Linked DNA regions of Mytilus edulis. The protein of the gene in region 1 purifies or fractionates together with the protein of each later gene. This does not show direct contact. Links are inferred from orthologs where the notes say so. Each region holds a gene or a part of one and is shown on either strand. Other genes may lie near its edges.

Region 1 (12,466 bases):
CAGCCAATTGCCAATTCTTAACAGGCAATCTGCAGCTGAGTTCTAACCACACAAACCTGATGTACTTGATAAAATGTTTTCAGTCGACCGTAAAAAAAGGTTTAATCAGTCACAAATGCTACATAAATAATAATTTTGTAATACTTGTTTTACCAATATGAAAGTTTTTTTCTGCACGTTTCTTGAACTTTCATGTTAATTTCATAACATTTCTGACATAAAACTCAGCTGCAAATTGTCATAGAAAAAACTAAATAAATCTGCAGGGGAAAATGTGACTTTTAAATCAGTTTTAAACCACAAATTATAACTTCTTTCCGTGGCTGATATTAGTGGATAACATGCTTTAATTTTCAAATTTTGAAGAAAAAAATCTGATTCAATGAGTATGATCGTATTTATATTTTCATATGAAGGGAGCAGTTTTTATTATTTTTTTTATCACATTTCCCCTGCAAACATGACACAGCACAAATATTCAGTTTTTTCCAAGTTTAATAATAAGTATAATTTTTACAATAACCAATAACAAGATTTCAGAAACAAAACAATCAACAAATTGTAACAATTAACAATACAAGCTTGATCAGAATACAGTTCTATTAAGACTCAATATGAAAGACTGTAAATTGTTATAATGAACACGCCAGTTCAACTAAGACAATATTTTATTATAAAAGTTGAACCTCTGGGCCCCTGGGTCAGTAATTTGAACTTCCAAATTAGCTAAATTTGGCACACTAGTTTTTCCTGAGGGATTTAAATTAAAAACCTCAATTTAAAACAATTATCAGGACTGTTAAAACATTCAAGAAATGATTTGCAAGTTTCAAAAGTATTAAAACGATTCCATATTCATGGGTTAACTTCATTAGTATTTCAGTTATATATTATATATATATATATATATCCCAATGAACACATTAAAAATGCACATCAAAATGGATTAAAAAATATTTCATTTATCACAAAGGATTGTTCATACAGAAAAATAACAAAACATCTAAGAATTCCTTATTTGTAGGTCATTATATAGGTGTTAAAGTTACTTTGCTTATAATAATTTCAACTTTTGTATTTCTCAAATAGATAGGTTTCTCATTTACCTTGTTCAGTGAAGTAAAAATGTCAATAGAAATTAGAGAGGAAATTTAAATAGATTTGTCCCAAGTAAATACAGTACAAACAAACGTTAAAATCAATATCAGAGAACCAACACATGGTTCAACAAAATATAGTTATTTAGTCAATATAACTTTGAAAGAAATTTTGATATGCCTGTTCTAGCATATTCCTTACAAGGTCTGTTCATAATACTGTGTGGAAATCTACATTACAATTGAATTTTCGCTATGAAACATGCCATTATGTAACTTAAAGCCCTATCAACAATTTCTGTTTGTTAAAAAAATCGAATATTAATATGTCTTTACTACATGTAGTTGGATGCAACATGGAATAGATAAAAATCATTAAAATTACATCTCTCTAAAAAATAATGCACCATAGCCTAATTCAACCCCCCTTTTTTATACCACACCTTTATTAACTGAAATTAAAAGCCATGTGGTGCTGCCTTTGATCAATATGTAGGGAAATAATATCATAATCAATAAACATTAAAAATATATCCAATGTGTGACCATTCAATAAACTTCTAACAGTCACGGCCACATCTTTTGATGGATAAAAAGAATATAAAAACTTGGTTAATGGATCGTATATTGGCTTACATATATAAATGAGAAGACCTGTAGAATAGTCATTATTTTGGGGTAATTAATACACCTACAGGGCATAAATATTTTATTTGTAAAGTTCAAATAAGGCATGCGATTAAAAACAATACTTTTCTCTACCTCATTCCTGATTAGCTGATTCCTAACTGCTTTACAATACCACTTAAATAACAATGCAGAAAGGCAAGCCATTCTGCTTCATAAGTTTATAAATTCAAGAGTCATCCTTTTCACTGGCAAATTCGAGATTTTACTTTGGAAGCAACCTGCTTGGTTCTCCGCAAAGCTTCATGGCTTACAACATTTTTTATATCTTTTTTTTCTTTTCTTTTACTATTTTTTTGGCCCTAAAACTGTTGCAACTTAGAAATCTGTTACACAAACAAATATTATCTGAATCAAATTAAGTATCTTGCCTCCCTTTCACTATGATTTACATTTAGTCGCAACAGTCCAGGAGTTTTTTAAATTTTTTTTTTTATTAATTTTTGTTGTATTGGTTGTTGTAGCTCTTTTTTTTTTAACAATTCCTTTTTTTGGGGGTTCATATATCAAACCCTTTGAGTAAAACATGTACATGCACTTACAAATTCAAAACAACATATATATAAAAATTGTCCAAATACTCTGGCAAATTCGTTATAAAAACATAAGATCCTACCAATCGCTCCTTAACGGGTTCTGGTGAATCGTAAAAACTTTCTTACAAACTCGGTAAAAATCTCTCCCCATGTTAACTTAAAAAAATATGTTAACCCAAACAAATTAGATTTGTCTTGGCTACAAATCTGGATTTCAAGTATTGCCTGTGTACGTTGTTCAGACAGACCATGATATATTTTACCACCCCTACTAACTGACACATTTAATAATAATATCTAGGGGAGATAACTTTTAAAAAATAAATCCAATGTCACCAGCTGTAAAGGGTGGCACCTTGAAAACCAGACTTGCAGTCCCTGATAAAACTATATATCACAGATGGAATAGGTGAGCACACTGGTTATTACTATAACTAATAGTTGCCCTTGCAGTGTGTCCCATAATATATCCAAACCTCTCCCTTTCTCTACCTTATTGTAAACATCCTATAGCCTGTTTCATACAACTCAATTTGGTTAAACCTCCTTAAAATATCATTACATACACCATTATTATACTGTAATATTCATAACTTAAATTCTTGTTTGAAACAGGCTATAGGTTAAAAAATTCAATTTGATATTCTACTCTCCATTGCATTTAATAAAATTTTAACATTCACTTTCTTATATATATGATATCACTCATATGTATTAATCAATTTCAACAAGTATACACAAACTGATAACAATAATTACACACTTGCAAAAATATAACATGATTAGTGTGAGCCATATGATACACGACACCATATGAACCAAACATTAAAAGCTATACACATTCGCATAAACAATAGTTTTAAATTTTCCAAATATGATTTTTTTTAAGAATTTGTGGTTAATTGCTAACTGATATGCAATATTTGTATTTTATTATTATTTTTTTCTGTTAATTGTCATGATTATGTTATTTTGTACATTGTAAATGTAATAAGGAAATAAACTAAAGTTGATTTTCTAAAAATCAACATGATTTGAATTTTGTTGATCAATGTATTTTGGACTACTAATTTAAAACTTCTTTCATCCAATACTCTAAATTTATCTTACACTACATTTAGTGAAATTTACACAACAACAATGTATGCATGGCAATAATGAATTATGCAAAATGGCAACAAGACCAGTACTTCAAACATGATATTAAATATGAACTATGTTAAACAAGTGATAAAGGCTATATTCTAATTTTTGTTTCTTTTTTCAATAACATACATGAAAGAAAATTATTTACTGTGTTAAAATAAACTCTGAAGATATTTACACCTAACAAATAATGCACTTATTAATCATGTTAATTGTATTTGTCAATAATCCATCCATGGTCATGTCATGATAATTTTTAACGGATTTTTATTCATTACGTTCTATGAAGCAGTGACAAGGTTTTATTGATGATAGCATATTACTTTTTTTCATTTCACACAACATTCACACATTTTACTGACAATCGGGAGAACTTGGGTAACTTGAGAAAGAACCTTCACTGTCACGTTTAACACTTACACCACTGCACTTTGCCCTGAGAATTTCACACTGCTGCTTGTAGAACCGGCACTCGCGCATCAATACAGCTTGCTGTCTCTGAAGTTGACGAACTTGACTTTCTAATGTTTTATTAGTCACCTCTAAACTTTGACGTTGATGCATTCGTTTAGAACGACAATTTTGAGCATAGCCTCTATTTTTTAATGTTCGTCTTTTTTGTTTCAGTTTTACTACATCTTCTTTAGGTAATCCTTGAAGACGACGATTGAGTTCTCTCACTGGTAGTGCAACTAGTTCTTCATCTTCAAGTGAATTAAGACTTTCTTCTGTTTTGGATTTAGTTGAACTTGTACTTGAATGACTAAGAGATCTTTTTATTGAAGGAATTTTGGTTGGTGCTGCCTTGTCCTCCAGCATGCCCCGACGACTTAATGATTGCTTCCCAGCTTCTGCACCAGAAACCAAATATTTACTAAAGTTTTGAACAAATTCAGGACTGGATGATATCAAACAATCTACATCTTCATCAATTTCTTCCTCCAGACTTTGTGTGGACTTTTGACTATTGCTAAAGCTTGTTTTTAATTTCATGTCAGTCTCAAACACACTTTGAGTAAGCCAGTTAAGACCGCTAAATACACTAGAATTACTATCTGAAGGACTTGGAACCTCGTCGCTGTAAGTTGGAGAAGGGGGTACACTCAAATCTGAGCAAGGTGTGGTCGCTCCTGAAGATCCACTTCGCGAGGACACATCACTTCGTTTACAACAGTTGCTATACCTATCTTCTATTTCCTTCTTTACTTCGGAAGCATCCAATAACTGATCCAAGTCGAAATCGGTAATATAATCATTCGCAAGATGTTGGTCGGGTTCCATATTGGATTTGATCAGCTGGCCGGCAGATCACCTCGTGTTCGTTTCAAATTAGGTCAGAAGAATCGAGATAATTTTCTTGTATTTAGACCACTTTTCTTGTGAAATTTTTGTCAAGATTGTTGTAAATGTTAGATTAAACGTTCGTTTGAGCCTTTAAATACTCACTTCTTCCATTCAAGTCCTTAATTTTGTTCAGAAATGTAGCGGCGGTCCAAGGGCAAACAACCACCGACTACCTGAACGAGAGCAGGCAACAACGAGCAAATAAGGGGAATCCCGGCTGCTTTTATACTATGTCGAACGTCAAATCCCAAAATAGCTATGGATGCAAAAGTTAACCAATCAATGCAAAGTATAAGCTGTATTTTTAGAACCAGAAATATTGACCGACTTTCCTAATGTCACTTGAACGTTTTACAGCACAGAGAAAAACAAATATCAACGAGTAACAAAATTGACAGAAACGATTACTAGGTTGTGCAATACCTTGACATATGGCGGGAAACGAACATGTTCAAACAGCTGTCTTTTAACTTATATTTATGATTTGAATTTGCTAAACTTTTTAAGTGTATATTAATAATTCATCTGGAACTACATTGAAGTTGTACAATTTTTAATATACAAGTGCGCATTAGAGGACGATAATTGTGTGTTTTTTTAAGGTCGATGCAGGAGTATTATTTTTGCCCAACTCGGAAAATCGTTTTTTGATTCCTGCAATTGGTGTTGCAGAATATTAATTACATTTGGTAATAATATGACAAGTTTGTTTTTTCTACAGCAAACCAAGACCGGGTATTTTTTTAAAAATCACCCCCCTATTTTTTATTTAATGAAAATGGTTGCCCTTTATATCTAAAAAAAACAACAAAAAAACTAAGTCTTTGGACTTTGATGCTTTTTTTTCAATATTTCTATAGTTATGTGTAAGTATTTTAATATCCTCCTATTTTACTTAATGGAATTTCTCGAAACTTTTTATGTTCTCATACTTTTGTCATAGCATAAAAAGAAGAAAATTTAACTAGAATTTCTTTCTTTTTTTCCAAATATGTCTTATGTTTATAAACATTTCCATTCCCAAAATATTTTTTATAATAAAAAGTAATAAAAATATTTTTATTTTCTTTATTTCTTTAGAATTCATGATAATTATAACCCCCAAATCTACTATATTTTCTTAACAAAAAGTGATAAAATGTTGCAATTTTATCAAGTTCTCTAATTAATTTTTACATTTAAATACTTAGAAAATCATTTAAATAGTTATAAAAACACCTATTGTTCTTATATAATATTTTTGTTGGCATTCAAGGAATAGGTAGCATATAAAATGTTGGCATTCAAGGAAGACACCCTTAGGATAATCCCCCCAAAATAGTATATTTGTTCATTAATACGATATTAATTATGGTAAAACAGGTTTGTGTGGCTGGAACCTTGTTGGGGAATTCGTGTCTAATTGGAAAAGTAAATGTTTTTAAAACAAACTGTCAACTTGAGCGTATCTCTTGAAAATACCATGTAGAGGGACACTTTCCGTAGTTATATAATTGTATTAATTTTACTATGAACATACTTTTTTGTATATCGGTCAATGGTATTTATATATCTGTACTATATATGTGCTCTTGTAACCAGTGTATAAGTATTTTTGCTTATCTATAAACACTCAATCGTATTTGTACTACAATGTATTACATTAGAAATAGGAGAAAACATCAAATTCAATATCAAAGCGGCAGTATCTGTCAAATTAAGAAATAATTCTTTCATGCCATGCTCTATGCTCATTTTAACATGGGTAGGCATTATATTTGTTAATATCTTAATACCGAGCGTTAGCGAGGTATTAAATGTTTACAAATATAATGCCTTACCATGTTAAAATGAGCATAGAGCATGGCATGATAGAATTATTTCGATTCTAATAGGACTATTTTGAACTTTTGTACTTTTGTACTTCGAAGCGGACCTACAGTATACGCTAAATGTCGCCATTTTGATTTGATGAACACAAACGTTATAGAAAAATCAACAGTTTATCAAGAAAGAAAAAAAACAGAAACATTTAAACCTACTTTTAGATTGTTTTTATTTAATTTCCTAGCAAGCAACACCAACAAAAATGTCCATTTGGATCTCTGGCGTTGTTCAAAATTCATCTGACGTTGCAATTTCAATTGTGACGGCAATCACGTGCAGCCCATGTTCTATTCGAATTAGAACATGGCTTTGTACCCAAAGCTAAAGAAGAACGTCATATTATAATTCTTTATAACCAATTTGATCCAAATTCTCATATTTATTTTATAACCTATCTATATATACTAAATAAACCGTATGTCTTAGCCAGTCAATAAGTAAAAAAAACCCTTAACAATGCGAAACGCACGTGATATATAAATAATATACCATATTGAAGATAGACTATACTGGAAACCCTTATGAACTAACAGTACTTTATCAGCGGTGTAACATAGACTATACTGGAAACCCTTATGAACTAACAGTACTTTATCGGCGGTGTAACATAGACTATACTGGAAAACCTTATGAACTAACAGTCCTTTATCAGCGGTGTAACATAGACTATACTGGAAACCCTTATAAACTAACACTACTTTATCGGCGGTGTAATATAGACTATACTGGAAACCCTTATTAGCTAACAGTCCTTTATCGGCGGTGTAACATAGACTATACTGGAAACCCTTATGAACTAATAGTTCTTTATCGGCGGTGTAACATAGACTATATATACTGGAAACCTTTGTGAACTAACAGTACTTTATCGGCGGTGTAACATAGACTATACTGGAAACCCTTATGAACTAACAGTCCTTTATCGGCGGTGTAACATAGACTATACTGGAAACCCTTATGAACTAACAGTCCTTTATCGGCGGTGTAATATAGACTATAATGGAAACCCTTATGAACTAACAGTCCTTTATCGGCGGTGTAACATAGACTATACTGGAAACCCTTATGAACTAACAGTCCTTTATCGGCGGTGTAACAGACTATACTGTAAACCCTTATAAACTAACAGTCCTTTATCGGCGGTGTAACATAGACTATACTGGAAACCTTTGTGAACTAACAGTACTTTATCGGCGGTGTAACATAGACTATACTGGAAACCCGTATGAACTAACAGTCCTTTATCGGCGGTGTAATATAGACTATACTGTAAACCCTTATGAACTTACAGTCCTTTATCGGCGGTGTAACATAGACTATACTGGAAACCCTTATGAACTAACAGTCCTTTATCGGGGGTGTAACATAGACTATACTGTAAACCCTTATGAACTAACAGTCCTTTATCGGCGGTGTAACATAGACTATACTGGAAACCTGTGTGAACTAACAGTACTTTATCGGTGGTGTAACATAGACTATACTGGAAACCCTTATGAACTAACAGTCCTTTATCGGCGGTGTAATATAGACTATACTGTAAACCCTTATGAACTAACAGTCCTTTATCGGCGGTGTAATATAGACTATACTGGAAACCCTTATGAACTAACTAACAGTCCTTTATCGGCGGTGTAACATAGACTATACTGTAAACCCTTATGAACTAACAGTCCTTTATCGGCGGTGTAATATAGACTATACTGTAAACCCTTATGAACTAACAGTCCTTTATCGGCGGTGTAATATAGACTATACTGTAAACCCTTATGAACTAACAGTCCTTTATCGGGGGTGTAACATAGACTATACTGAAACCCTTATGAACTAACAGTCCTTTATCGGCGGTTTAACATAGACTTTACTGGAAACCCTTATGTTTAACAGTCCTTTATCGGTGGTGTCGACCCAATGATTTTAAAGCAAAGAGAAACATATAAAGACTGGGTGAATGATTATGATATCCTTATGGACTAACAGCCGAAAATCAGTGATCTCAACCCTATGTTATAAATCAAAGAGAAAGATAGAATATTGGGTGAACTACCCTTTCATGGAATAACAGCCGATCATCAGTAATGTCTTCCCATTAGTTGTAAATCAAAGAAAAAAGTAAAATCACAAAAAATAATCCCCCCAAAATAATATATTTGTTCATTAATACGATATTAATTATGGTAAAACAGGTTTGTGTGGCTGGAACCTTGTTGGGGAATTCGTGTCTAATTGGAAAAGTAAATGTTTTTAAAACAAACTGTCAACTTGAGCGTATCTCTTGAAAATACCATGTAGAGGGACACTTTCCGTAGTTATATAATTGTATTAATTTTACTATGAACATACTTTTTTGTATATCGGTCAATGGTATTTATATATCTGTACTATATATGTGCTCTTGTAACCAGTGTATAAGTATTTTTGCTTATCTATAAACACTCAATCGTATTTGTACTACAATGTATTACATTAGAAATAGGAGAAAACATCAAATTCAATATCAAAGCGGCAGTATCTGTCAAATTAAGAAATAATTCTTTCATGCCATGCTCTATGCTCATTTTAACATGGGTAGGCATTATATTTGTTAATATCTTAATACCGAGCGTTAGCGAGGTATTAAATGTTTACAAATATAATGCCTTACCATGTTAAAATGAGCATAGAGCATGGCATGATAGAATTATTTCGATTCTAATAGGACTATTTTGAACTTTTGTACTTTTGTACTTCGAAGCGGACCTACAGTATACGCTAAATGTCGCCATTTTGATTTGATGAACACAAACGTTATAGAAAAATCAACAGTTTATCAAGAAAGAAAAAAAACAGAAACATTTAAACCTACTTTTAGATTGTTTTTATTTAATTTCCTAGCAAGCAACACCAACAAAAATGTCCATTTGGATCTCTGGCGTTGTTCAAAATTCATCTGACGTTGCAATTTCAATTGTGACGGCAATCACGTGCAGCCCATGTTCTATTCGAATTAGAACATGGCTTTGTACCCAAAGCTAAAGAAGAACGTCATATTATAATTCTTTATAACCAATTTGATCCAAATTCTCATATTTATTTTATAACCTATCTATATATACTAAATAAACCGTATGTCTTAGCCAGTCAATAAGTAAAAAAAAAACCTTAACAATGCGAAACGCACGTGATATATAAATAATATACCATATTGAAGATAGACTATACTGGAAACCCTTATGAACTAACAGTACTTTATCAGCGGTGTAACATAGACTATACTGGAAACCCTTATGAACTAACAGTACTTTATCGGCGGTGTAACATAGACTATACTGGAAAACCTTATGAACTAACAGTCCTTTATCAGCGGTGTAACATAGACTATACTGGAAACCCTTATAAACTAACACTACTTTATCGGCGGTGTAATATAGACTATACTGGAAACCCTTATTAGCTAACAGTCCTTTATCGGCGGTGTAACATAGACTATACTGGAAACCCTTATGAACTAATAGTTCATTATCGGCGGTGTAACATAGACTATATATACTGGAAACCTTTGTGAACTAACAGTACTTTATCGGCGGTGTAACATAGACTATACTGGAAACCCTTATGAACTAACAGTCCTTTATCGGCGGTGTAACATAGACTATACTGGAAACCCTTATGAACTAACAGTCCTTTATCGGCGGTGTAATATAGACTATAATGGAAACCCTTATGAACTAACAGTCCTTTATCGGCGGTGTAACATAGACTATACTGGAAACCCTTATGAACTAACAGTCCTTTATCGGCGGTGTAACAGACTATACTGTAAACCCTTATAAACTAACAGTCCTTTATCGGCGGTGTAACATAGACTATACTGGAAACCTTTGTGAACTAACAGTACTTTATCGGCGGTGTAACATAGACTATACTGGAAACCCGTATGAACTAACAGTCCTTTATCGGCGGTGTAATATAGACTATACTGTAAACCCTTATGAACTTACAGTCCTTTATCGGCGGTGTAACATAGACTATACTGGAAACCCTTATGAACTAACAGTCCTTTATCGGGGGTGTAACATAGACTATACTGTAAACCCTTATGAACTAACAGTCCTTTATCGGCGGTGTAACATAGACTATACTGGAAACCTGTGTGAACTAACAATACTTTATCGGTGGTGTAACATAGACTATACTGGAAACCCTTATGAACTAACAGTCCTTTATCGGCGGTGTAATATAGACTATACTGTAAACCCTTATGAACTAACAGTCCTTTATCGGCGGTGTAATATAGACTATACTGGAAACCCTTATGAACTAACTAACAGTCCTTTATCGGCGGTGTAACATAGACTATACTGTAAACCCTTATGAACTAACAGTCCTTTATCGGCGGTGTAATATAGACTATACTGTAAACCCTTATGAACTAACAGTCCTTTATCGGCGGTGTAATATAGACTATACTGTAAACCCTTATGAACTAACAGTCCTTTATCGGGGGTGTAACATAGACTATACTGAAACCCTTATGAACTAACAGTCCTTTATCGGCGGTTTAACATAGACTTTACTGGAAACCCTTATGTTTAACAGTCCTTTATCGGTGGTGTAACATAGACTATACTGGAAACCCTTATGAACTAACAGTACTTTATCGGCGGTGTAACATAGACTATACTGGAAAACCTTATGAACTAACAGTCCTTTATCAGCGGTGTAACATAGACTATACTGGAAACCCTTATAAACTAACACTACTTTATCGGCGGTGTAATATAGACTATACTGGAAACCCTTATTAGCTAACAGTCCTTTATCGGCGGTGTAACATAGACTATACTGGAAACCCTTATGAACTAATAGTTCTTTATCGGCGGTGTAACATAGACTATATATACTGGAAACCTTTGTGAACTAACAGTACTTTATCGGCGGTGTAACATAGACTATACTGGAAACCCTTATGAACTAACAGTCCTTTATCGGCGGTGTAACATAGACTATACTGGAAACCCTTATGAACTAACAGTCCTTTATCGGCGGTGTAATATAGACTATAATGGAAACCCTTATGAACTAACAGTCCTTTATCGGCGGTGTAACATAGACTATACTGGAAACCCTTATGAACTAACAGTCCTTTATCGGCGGTGTAACAGACTATACTGTAAACCCTTATAAACTAACAGTCCTTTATCGGCGGTGTAACATAGACTATACTGGAAACCTTTGTGAACTAACAGTACTTTATCGGCGGTGTAACATAGACTATACTGGAAACCCGTATGAACTAACAGTCCTTTATCGGCGGTGTAATATAGACTATACTGTAAACCCTTATGAACTTACAGTCCTTTATCGGCGGTGTAACATAGACTATACTGGAAACCCTTATGAACTAACAGTCCTTTATCGGGGGTGTAACATAGACTATACTGTAAACCCTTATGAACTAACAGTCCTTTATCGGCGGTGTAACATAGACTATACTGGAAACCTGTGTGAACTAACAGTACTTTATCGGTGGTGTAACATAGACTATACTGGAAACCCTTATGAACTAACAGTCCTTTATCGGCGGTGTAATATAGACTATACTGTAAACCCTTATGAACTAACAGTCCTTTATCGGCGGTGTAATATAGACTATACTGGAAACCCTTATGAACTAACTAACAGTCCTTTATCGGCGGTGTAACATAGACTATACTGTAAACCCTTATGAACTAACAGTCCTTTATCGGCGGTGTAATATAGACTATACTGTAAACCCTTATGAACTAACAGTCCTTTATCGGCGGTGTA
Region 2 (12,587 bases), on another chromosome or scaffold:
ACCCTACATATATTCATTTATCAGAGGTATTACATAAACAAGTGATTTTAGTTTTGAAATTTTTTATCAGAGGTATTACATAAACAAGTGGTTTTAGTTTTGAATTTTTTTATCAGAGGTATTACATAAACAAGTGATTTTAGTTTAAAATTTTTTATCAGAGGTATAACATAAACTAGTGATTTTAGTTTTGAATTTTTTTATCAGAGGTATTGTAAACATAAACAAGTGATTTTAGTTTTGAAAATTTTTATCAGAGGTATTACATCAACAAGTGATTTTAGTTTTGAAAAATATTATCAGAGGTAATACATAAACTTAACATGTGATTTTAGTTTAGAAAATTTGAAAATTTTCACAAGAATAGACACAAGACTTTTTTGTATCACTAGTATGTCATGTACGTTTACTGAAACAAGTAATTTCAGATGTAAAAATCCTAAAGGTATTTGGAAATCTACAACTTGACCTTTTGACTTCATACAACAGTCACTTTTACATGGTCAATGATGGTATACATGGTATACGTAGTCATGGTAGTGTCAAATATTTTTCTAATTGTGAGGTCAAAATTTTACAAGAACCTTTGTAATGTCCAGTAATGTTAGACAAATAGCAATAAACTAAGGTGGATGAAATTATACATGTACATGTATATACAATTAAACTCTTTTATTTGGAAATCAAATTATAAAATAATGGCAAAAATGACTTAAAATGATATTTTTCACGGCCAAAGTGGTAAATGGCTGAAATGAACTAAGTTAGAGCTATCAACAATGTATACTGGCTCCAATCCATGGCCAATTTGCCAAATTGATTTTGGGACTGCTTCATTCAAGTTCTGGCTATGCCCAGAAAGTCCTATCATGGGACTGAAAAGTTGGTTGATTCAGAGATTCGACTGACAAAATGACTGAAGTACACATTTAATCTTTTTTTGCTCTCTACGCTAGGAAATAGGAATAAAATGACTGTTAACAATGTCAATGAATATAATCTTTTCTTCAAAGCCTTATTCATCATAAAAAGGTTTTTCCAAGATAATTTTATAAATATATTTGAAAATAAAATATGGCATAGTAATCAATTATCATCTTTCATTATGGACTTTTACAGTTCTGACATTTGACCTTACATTGTGCTTTCCACCATACCTTTTTTGACAGACTGATACACCTTATAGCTATTTGAAAATCTCTCACACTTGACACAAGAAGCTTTTCCCCCCTAACCATTTGAAATCACTTTTACATTATGTTGTCAGAAATTTTCTAAAACAACATCAAAATTTTAAGTGAGCCTTTTGTGATGTCCAGTCAGTCAGGGGTACTTCTTGTACAAGTTATTTTTAATTACTTGAAGAAGTAATATTAATATACTTACATGTATACACATGGAAAAAAGTATTGCAACACCTTGATTTTTAAAAATTTGAAAAATCAGCCTCTTTTTTTGGATGAAATATAATAAAATATTTGTATAATATTATTGAAACATAGTTTATGATAACATTGGCATTGAAACAAACAAAAAATGTTTGAAAAAAAAAAGATTTATATAACCACAATTTTAATAACAAAATGAAGTGTTTTTTGTACAAAAAAATGCATTTTCCAACTTTTACTGTAGTCGAACTTTACAATGTCAGACATTTCAAAATTAATCTTCAGATGACTGTTCACATCATGGTTGATCGTTATACGCCAAATAATTAGTACTTTGTGCGCAGCCTCCATTCAAACGGATAACCGCATCTAAACGTCTCCTGATTCTTGCCAAAAATCGACTTATTTGTTGCTAAGGTAGCAGCAACCATTTCTGATGAAAGGCATTGTTTATTTCATTATGTGTTTGAACTGGGGTGTCCTTTCGCGCACGTTCCGCCCAATAGTGTCCCATATATGCTCGATATGGTTCAAATCCGGGCTACGATCCGTCCAAGGAAGATGAACCGAATTCCATTGGAACAATGGATCTTCCTCAACGATGCTAATTTTCAACTTTAGCGAGCTCTGCACTACATTGGATACGGAAAACTGTGTGTCTGTTCGTAAGCAAATGTATCCGAAATGGTCTTATCGCACGATAACCAGTAGCGATGAGTCGATCTCGAACAGTTCTTGTTAAAAGGCTCCTGTATGCCCACCACTCTCTTTTTAGAATTGTATTGTATGCAATGGGTTTCCTTCTGACCAACCTTCATTATGCTTGATTTTCCCTAGCAAATGGTATAGGGGGTCTTCTTTATCCATGTTATCTCGGAAGGTCTTTAACATTGTTTAGTGCCTTATTTTTATTCTCAAAACGACTTATAGTGGAATGGTGATGACCAAAAATACGTGCAGTTGTTTCAGCGACATCCCTGCTTCTCTCATGCTGATAATCTGCCATCTTGCTGCAGTTTAGAGTTGTAGAGGACTCATTACAAGGTGTCAATCACATAACTTTAAAAACTTGGTTATTTAAAGTGTTGAAAACAATGAGGATGAAAACATCTGTTTTGCTGTTTACGGGTACAGTAGCTGCATGTGCAGATAAAAACTTATCGAATCGATATTTATTGATTAAACTCAGGTGATACTTAAATAATGTTTAATTAGTTCTATTTTACCAAATTATATCACAAAAAAATAAAAAGTGTTTTTTTAATTTCAATTTCAATTTGGTGTTGCAATACTTTTTTCCATGTGTATATATAAGTAAACCCAGGTTTTTTCCAACCCTGCCCCAAGGAGCAATTTTTGAAGGCCTTGCGCAAGTACTTAAGATCTTTGCGCAATCAGATTCTTTAATAATCACCTATTTAAGTAGTACAAATTAATCACTAGAAGAAGTGATTTAATATTAGTGTAGCTTTAGCATGTTTAGATATAGAATACTAATGATCCAGGGACTAATTATGTTTCTAAACTTATCAGAACCAACATCTGTGTTGTCTAGGATGACCAGGTCATTTCAGGTGATGACCTTGTACTGAATCTAGGATAATGACATAAAAATCACTTGTTTAAGTACCAGACCTCAATTTCCTTCCCAAAAATCACTTCTTTAAGTATCATTCTTTTAATAACCCCGGCCCCACTAATTTCAACACCCCCGAACAGTGAAATTTTTATCGCGAACAGTAGAATTTTATTACATAATCTGAAAGATGAAAACCTTGAACTTCACAGGAAAAATACTCCCACTGCTGGGAAAAATCTGTTAAGAAAGTATGAGTTCATTATGTAAAGCCATTATTATAGCATTTTTTCAACTAAAATAGAATTTTCAGGTAAATGATAGCATCAAAGGCATAAACCTTGCTACTTAAAAGAAGCAAAAAGTTCATATTTTTTAATTTTACTAATTAAAAGATGTTATTTAAACCTATGTGTTTAAAATTTTTAAAAAACTACAAAATCCAAATTTGTGACAAAACCTCGAATTTGCTACTCAAATACAAGTGATTTAAAAATCACTTATTTCAGTATAAAAAAAATTGAGCAAACCTGGGAAAATCATTAAACATGTTAAAGGCATGAATTTACATCTCAAAACTTGAGGACTTTTGTGGGATTGTAAGAAAAATTTACTTTTGAGAAAATTAAGGGGAGATTATTCAAACATCATTTATTTACTTATATGTGTACTAGAACACACCCGTGATATCACGGGTCCGTGACTGAATTAAAGTATATATAAGTATGCGCAAGCCTTATTTTAGTATTAGTATTGTCATATGATAAAGTCATGTCGATTATAAGATACACAGTTTTTCTCTGCTTTCAAGTCTTTCTGTTTGAACCCGTTGAACTGTAACTTATCAGTTATTGGTAATATTAATTATTTGGAAAACAAAAGGTCCTGGAATGGAGTATTTTTCAATCAACAGCATTGTCCTATATAAGTTATAAATAAAGTTGAATTCTCTGCTTTGCTGTTTTACGTCATGCCCACTAACAAATTGAAAACTGTACCTATACGCCTTATTTTTAGTCCAGATTTTTAGTATTCGTATTGTTATCTTAGAAAGTCTTACTGATTAAAATACTACAATAGGTAACAATTTGACAATTTGGTAGTGTCAACCCTGTGGTTATGACCCGTGTATATAGCATATTAGTCCTGAATACAACGTTTGGTGGTGCGCCTGTCAGATGCGGAACGTACAGATAAGGTAATAGGTAACAGGTGAATATACTATTGGTATTGGTAGCGGACTCGAGCCGGAACTTCTTAATTATTGGCAATATTAATTACGTGGAAAACAAAAGGGCCTGGAGTGGTGTAATTTTTAAACTACACCTTTGTACTATATTTTATATATAAAGTTGAATTCTGTGATTTGTCGTTTTTACGTGATGACGGCTGACAAATTATAAGATACACAGTTTTTCTCTGCTATCAAGTCTTTCTGTTTGAACCCGTTGAACTGGAACTTATCAGTTATTGGTAATATTAATTATTTGGAAAACAAAAGGTCCTGGAATGGAATATTTTTTAATCAACAGCATTGTCCTATATAAGTTATAAATAAAGTTGAATTCTTTGCTTTGCTGTTTTACGTCATGCCCACTAACAAATTGAAAACTGTACCTATACGCCTTATTTTTAGTCCAGATTTTTAGTATTCGTATTGTTATCTTAGAAAGTCTTACTGATTAAAATACTACAATAGGTAACAATTTGACAATTTGGTAGTGTCAACCCTGTGGTTATGACCCGTGTATATAGCATATTAGTCCTGAATACAACGTTTGGTGGTGCGCCTGTCAGATGCGGAACGTACAGATAAGGTAATAGGTAACAGGTGAATATACTATTGGTATTGGTAGCGGACTCGAGCCGGAACTTCTTAATTATTGGCAATATTAATTACGTGGAAAACAAAAGGGCCTGGAGTGGTGTAATTTTTAAACTACACCTTTGTACTATATTTTATATATAAAGTTGAATTCTGTGATTTGTCGTTTTTACGTGATGACGGCTGACAAATTATAAGATACACAGTTTTTCTCTGCTATCAAGTCTTTCTGTTTGAACCCGTTGAACTGGAACTTATCAGTTATTGGTAATATTAATTATTTGGAAAACAAAGGTCCTGGAATGGAATATTTTTTAATCAACAGCATTGTCCTATATAAGTTATAAATAAAGTTGAATTCTTTGCTTTGCTGTTTTACGTCATGCCCACTAACAAATTGAAAACTGTACCTATACGCTTTATTTTTAGTCCAGATTTTTAGTATTCGTATTGTTATCTCAGAAAGTCTTACTGATTAAAATACTACAAAAGGTAACAATTTGACAATTTAGTAGTGTCAACCCTGTGGTTATGACAAATTGGACCTCGTAACTTTAGTATTATAGATATCTAACACGAGAATCTGTTCCGCTTGAACTATTGTCATCATAGAACAATCACTTTTCCATTAATATTTTTGTAGCGTCAGATATTTTGTATTACATTTACATGTATGACATCAAAATTTTACGGGAACATGTGTGATGTTTACATGGTTTAGTAATGGCAAACAAATAGCGATAAGGTGTCTTGCTTGCTGGTGTGTTATTAGGCCGGAGAGGGCTGTGTATGACTATACATGTACATGTGCTGTGTGGTGATTTTTATTAATTTCTAAGCAAATGAAGCAATTGTGCCTATTATTGAAGCACAAACTGGGATAGCCTGGGTTAAGACGCTGTGGCAAATGAATTTACAATGCTGCAGGGGTCAAAATTAACTTATAAAGGCCAATAGCCAGCAGGGCAATTTCTGGTCGCCAATGGGCAACCATAATTTAATTTTTTTCCCTGTTATTGCACAATAACGTTTTTGACAAACTGATATAAACGGTTGTATTTTATACCACATCGAATTACAGACAAAACCTGAAGCATTCACTAGTCTATATTATGCATGATAAATATATAAAGTAAGGTGCCTAAAAATTTAATACATTTTATGTTTCAGAACACTCATCCATGTAGCTGCGGAACCGTAGCTCTTAGGTCCTATGTTATTTTTTGACTATTTGCGGACCGCAAAATCAAAAAAAATTAAAAAAGGACCATAAGAGTTACGGTTCCGCAGCTATCATCCATGAATATTAGAAAGATTATATATATTTTGGGGTACAAGTTAGTCAAATCGGCACCCATAGAAAAACATAAAGTCATCAAATACACCTTATCGCTATTCCCGGCTGACCCGTCCGCTTGAACTTTTGACGTCAACAACAATCACTTTTCCATTGTGGCGTCAGACATTTTGTTTTATGACGTCAAAATTTTACGGGAACCTGTGTGATTTCCAGCAATGGCGGACAAATAGCGATAAGGTGTATTGGCACCTGGTTAAATCAGCATCTAGTCAAATTGGCACCTATTTAAAGTCAATTCGGCATTCTTGACAATCGTTTAGGTGGAATAACATTTAGTTGAGAGAGAAAAATATATACATTTTTACATAATAGTTAATACTGGTAAGATATATGTAAATCAAATATATTTTACATGTTTAACATGGGTGCCGAATTGACTATATCAATCTTCAATAATAGGCACAATTGCTTCATTTGCTTAGTTATATCAGGTGCCGATTTAACCAGGACTGGTGCCGATTTGACCAGGTGCCGATTTTGACTATTTTACAATTCATATTTTGGTGGGTTTTTTCCGTTTCTGTATTAATTATAAAAAAATAAGTTTGCAAGATGTTTACGTCAACTTTTAAACCTTTGTAGTGTAGTTTGCATAAAACATCAAATCACAGAGAACTCTTGAATCTCTTCTGTTTAAAATTTTTAAACAAGTGTGTTTACCTGCTTTTTGAAGTTCCCGCTCTGTCCAATCAAAAAGCACGATAACAAACTTTAGGGAAAAAATAAAACCTACGTTAAATGTGCTCCGATTGGATAATAAGAATAAGATCCCTTCTACGTTTTTGAGAACGTAGTTCAATGATACTTGATTCTAAATTCAAATTGACGCTGCACTAATAAAAATCAGCAATTTTCCAGAAGGATTTTTGTAAACGCCGGTTGCCTCTTTTATCACATTTGTACATGTTACAGGTATGATTATGCAAATTCTCGACCCAGTGTTTATTACTGATACTTGAAAATCACACAGAAACCATAATATATTCATTTACGAACTAGTTTGTATCTGTATATTCACAAATTATATAAAGATTGATGAATCATCATGATAATAATTAATATGCTTTCATGTTGTTTTAGCTAAAGTCTGTTGGGCTCATAATTTCAGTTGACCCTGCCCCAATTAACATAACTATTCATTAGTGGCAAGGTTTCGGTGCAAAATATAGTTGACATGCATTTTGTGTCCAGACACAACGATAAATTACAAATATTGAATATGATTATATATAAGGGAGCTACCATTTGATTTTTATGGGAGGGCTAGGATGAAAAATTTTGTCCTACATTTTTTTTTAGCTGTAATCTATGTCCTGCCTTTTTATTTTTCACTCTGTTCCGTCCTGCCTTTTTTTTTTTTAGTTTATCCTGACTTTTTTTACCTAAATTGTGGTCCTGACTTTTTTTTTTTTGCAAGTGTCTCATCCTGCCTTTTTTTTTACTCAAAACTCCTGTCCTGCCTATTTTTTTCAAATTTCATCCTAGCCCCCCCATAAAAATCAAATGGTAGCTCCCTAACAAACAAATGGAATACAAATTTAACGCTGTTTATATTTGTACTCTTTTAAGTGAAGCCCCCATTTATACTAATTAAAAGTCTATATAGTTTATAATTTCCTAGATCGATGTGGGGCCAGATCGACGTGTGCCGGATCGACTTGGGACGGATCGACATGGGGCCACATTGACTTGGGGCCTGATCAGTTGGCGCCGGAATGACCGGATACCAAACATTTCGATCTTCTCTGTCTCTATCCAATTAGCGTTAGTCATGTCGTCATAATTCTTTACGTATTGCTTGGGATTTAACATTACTCTTAGCATAATTTCATGCTTGCATCACAGCTGAAGATTGACCAATCAGATAATTAGATTGTGTTTATCTATTTGAATATTGGAGTTGAAGCGGTGGCAAATCCTCGGGTTTTACCATATAAAGGTACACAAACTTAAAACTCAATTTAATTTTTGTTGAATCATTAAAATTGAATTTGAGATCGTTTTTTCAAATCTCCTTATCATATTAGACATGTGTTATAAAAATCTTTGTGATACCTTTTACCGTTTGGTTTTAAATTGTAATTAAAAATTGTATTTTCCCATAGAGTTTGAGGTAAAATCCCGAGAATTTCACCTCCTAGAAATTTAAAGTGCCAGGATGTTCGAAAATATGTAATTAAAACGAAAGTAAGCTGGTAAAAAAAGATATAGAAGCATTTTTGGGATACGATTGCTTTCAAGCAATGTGTAGACTTATACTGGTGGCTCAGAGCATTTCCCTCACGTCAATCGTTTTATTCTAAACATCAAGGAACATCTCAGATTCTTATGATTGTCTTGCTTTAAAAGGTAAAAACAAACAAAGGGATCGAACTTAAACAACTTTCCTATATTGTTCTTTTCATAATCTTCATGTTTGATAATTCCCTTGACTTATATGCGTGTTTTTAACAACACGGAAAATCAGAATTAAGCAGTATTTATATTTAGTGTACAATGTATTTATAAATTTAGAAACACGTCAGAGGGAATTACCAGTTTTGGTAAAATGCTAGAATTGTCTGAATTCTGATAAATCTGTTTCTGTCATATAAGAACTGAAGTGCAGTTATAAAGCTGATATTTGAGATTGTACTTCCATAAAGAAATAGAGAACCATCTAGGTCGTTTAATAAACATTTAATATACGTTCTTGCTTCAGGGTTTGTTTAGGAAATTATGCACATACGTATATAGTTTTCTTGACTTCAAGGTATTTTAGATTGAATGGTTGAACCGGTAGGCAAGTAATTGTTTCTAAATTAACAAGTCCGACCAAGTAATAATTGCTATAAAGGTTATTTATGTTTTGCTAATATTATATTTCATGTAAAATAAATTTTTAACAATTCGGGGCATATTGAATATTTGGATAATTGGTGTAGATTGCATTTCACACTAATGTTACAACTTCCCTTCAATTGTCATTGAAAATTTATTAAAAATCCCTAATTCTTTCATTGTCGAAAAATGCAACATTTATTTGCATAAGCTTAAATCTAAATGCGAGAGAAATGCAATGTTCGCCAAGCATTCTCCTTTTCCGTATTTTCCTACAATATACAATACGAACTTATGTTTTAGCAGACAATTTATAGTAAACGCATGAAAACATGTATCTCTATTTTTCCGACGTTACTTTTCATTAAAATCGACAGCATTTTAACGGGGATCACTTAAGTAAACTGCCACATAAACAATGATTCAAATGTATCGGTTCGCTTCAAATAGAAGCAGGATAAGTATGCGTTATACTGTTTTGTATTGATATAGTAAAATGGTCGACTGTAGGACAAGTCCTTTTTCCAGCACTCGAAAAAAATAAACATTGTGATTCAGCCGACAAAAAACTGTTAAATTCAATCAATTACTCTTAAGTCATGGACATATGGTGTAAAAAATTGTTAATCAGATATTCCTAATATATTTTTCGGTATGTTCATTTTTAGTTTGTATAAACAACTGTTAACGTCATTATCGAACTACGTTTTTACGTCTATATTTTCCCGGACCATTGCACTTCAGTGTATGGAACCACGTACTTTAGCGTAGATTAATGTGATTATAACATGCTTAAATTCAGTATCGTATTGATGAAAAAATACAATAGGTTCAGGAGCTTGGTGGTGAAAAACCCAATTTGATATTTGCTTGAGGGGTGAATTGGAATTAATAATATAATTGAAAAACTACTTCACTCAATTAAATAAAAAAATAGTGGGTAAAAACCCCAATTTGTGAATTCTTATCTGGAGCTCTGTCAAAGTCGAACCAAACATCAGGTAAAACGCTTGAACCATTCTAAAAATTTGTTAAACATGACCATGATGACCTAGGTTATATGGCTAATTACAACAGAGAGTGCAAATATATGCTTTAAATAAAAATAATAATGTGCAATATGAATTAGCACATTTCTAAAACTTTAGCTTTATGATGTTATGAAGAACGATTGCGTCAATAAAAATTTCAAATAAACAGCACTGAATAATCTTAATTTGTAAATACATGGAATAATTCAAATTTGACAACGGTAGAGTTACAGCAGAGTCTACTTTATTAAACATCGCAAACAAAAGGCCGTTAAAATATAATAATAAATTTTGACTACGGTTAACTAGTTGAACGTGGCTTGGTACTTTTATATCCCTCAAAAAATCAAGCAATTTAAATTGGTATTTATATTCATCATTATTTTAAGATGAGTAAGGTAAGGTAAGGTAAAGAAATAGAAACAGAGACTGTAATAATATATAATATATATACCCAAATGTGAAGCACTACACAAAGTCTAACTACATCTTTTCCTTTATCCCATTTGGTGCCAAAGTTGTTAATTTTCTTATCCAAAATCTATCCTGAGTGAGTCTATCCTCCCTAGACCAAGCAGAGTTGTGGTCAATGATTGTAATGCTCAGTCGGTTGAGATCTGCCTTAGTGTGGCCAGGGGATCTCAAATATCGACTGAGAGGGAGGTCTGGCTTGCATTGGTAGTTGCTACGATGACTGTTTATTCGTTTGTGAAACAGCTGTTCTGACTCACCAACATACTGTTTACCACATGTACACTGTAGGAGATGCACAACATTTAATTTGTAGTCTTGCAATTAACATTGCAAAATATGGTGTATTCTGTACTAGTGGAGTAGGCAAGTCAAGAGATGTTCCGAAAAGTGTAAATATTACCTTTTTGCACCTGGCCTAATCTCTCTTTCCATATCAAAATCTGTTAAAATAAAACATCCAAAAGTTTATTTCAGCTCTCTTCTTTAATTTCCACCCAAAAAAAACTAAGAAATTTATGAGAAAGGGGAAGAATAAAAATAAAAAAACAATACACTATAATTAATTGGAACTATATTCTTGGACAATGAAAAGCGGGATCATTAATTGTGGTCTTTGGCCACTAAGCAGTTTGACAAACACATAATTTTTTATCATTGAGAAGCTTAATATTTCCTTAACAATACACCATGATTAAAACGTTTAGCTGATTTTACAGAGTTATCTCCCTGTATTGTTATGTTCCACCTTAACTTGGCTTAAGGAATGACAGTTATATTTTTTCTGTCTATGAAGAAATAACATATAAAATGTGGTGCATACTGAATAACCTGTGTAGAGAGTAATTTTTAAGTATGCACCACATTTTTTATGTTATTTTCGAATAGACAACAAACATTAATACAGTCATTCCTTACAATTTAGTTCAAAATTCCATTAAAAACATGAGTAAATCAGGAAAAATCTTTCATGACGTCACTGTCACATGACAAAATTGAATCCATGACAAATCGCCCCACTGGCAAATCGCCCCACACCTAATCGCCTCACTTTTTCACAAACTTGCCCCACTTTCTATAAAATTGCCCCACTCTTGTTTACCAACTCGCCCCACTTACGAAAAAGGCTAAAATTCCATTGCAAATAGGTTGGATAACATGCCCCTCTTTTGAAAAGAGTTAAAATCCCGCTGACATAAGGTCTGCCAACTCGCCCCACTCTTAACAAATAGATAAAAAAAACACGATGATTTTATTGGTGCCAACTCGACCCACTTATGAAAAAAGATACAATCCCGTTGTATATCTATATATGTCCCTGCCCCACTTCAATACCCATGAAAACAGTGAAGTGCTATATATCAAACTGCTGTTAATTGAAATCCTGCAATTGTATGATTATGATTCAATTAACAGGTTTTTTTTTCAATTGTTATACAAATAACTAAGCATACATGTATAAAGTTATTCTCCAATAATGATACGAAAATGTATTTGCAATTATATTTTAAGACTGTTAAAAATCATTTCATTTAAAAAAATAACGGTTAAATAAATTTCGTTTTTTGGGGGTATTCTGTGACAGTGTAGATTAGTTTTCATTTAAAAAGTAAAAACACAAAAATACTGAACTCTGAGGAAAATTCAAAAAGGAAAATCAAAAATCAAAAGGCAAAATCAAAAGTCCAAACACATCAAACGAATGGATAACAACTGTCATATTCCTGACTTGGTACAGGCATTTTCTAATGTAGAAAATGGTGGATTGAACCTGGTTTTATAGCTAGCTAAACCTCTCACTTGTATGACAGTCGCATCAAATTCCATTACATTGTCAACGATGCATGAACAAAACAAACATACTCAAAGAGTAAAAATGTCAAAAATAGGGGTACAACAGTCAATATTGTGTTATCATCTTAATATCACTACATAAACAACAAATGTAACAAAGTAGCACAAAAAGGCATACATCAAATTTAACATTCTCATTTTGCTTTTCTTATACGGCTGAATTTATCTATGTAAAGTCTACCCATAAATGAAAGAAGGTTTTCATTACTGGTGTAAAATTGCGCGTTTGAAATTCGCACAGGTAGACATAAAAATAATTTTG

What was found.
Region 2: the proteins of transcription factor Maf-like (region 1) and ubiquitin carboxyl-terminal hydrolase 5-like purify together in Homo sapiens (affinity purification with western blotting; 3 studies listed by BioGRID, with this or other methods). This does not show direct contact. The link is inferred for Mytilus edulis from reciprocal best matches to the Homo sapiens genes MAF and USP5.

Annotation. Positions count from the first base shown.
Region 1 is NC_092348.1:28,660,733-28,673,198, reverse strand, and holds the start of transcription factor Maf-like, read right to left. Parts: upstream 5,048-12,466; 5' UTR 4,748-5,047; coding exon 3,821-4,747; 3' UTR 1-3,820.
Region 2 is NC_092356.1:61,376,218-61,388,804, reverse strand, and holds the start of ubiquitin carboxyl-terminal hydrolase 5-like, read left to right. Parts: upstream 1-6,896; 5' UTR 6,897-7,061; intron 7,062-12,587. Other genes in the region: cell division cycle-associated protein 3-like, read right to left, coding at 6,724-6,750. UniProt on the Homo sapiens protein: Deubiquitinating enzyme that participates in a wide range of cellular processes by specifically cleaving isopeptide bonds between ubiquitin and substrate proteins or ubiquitin itself.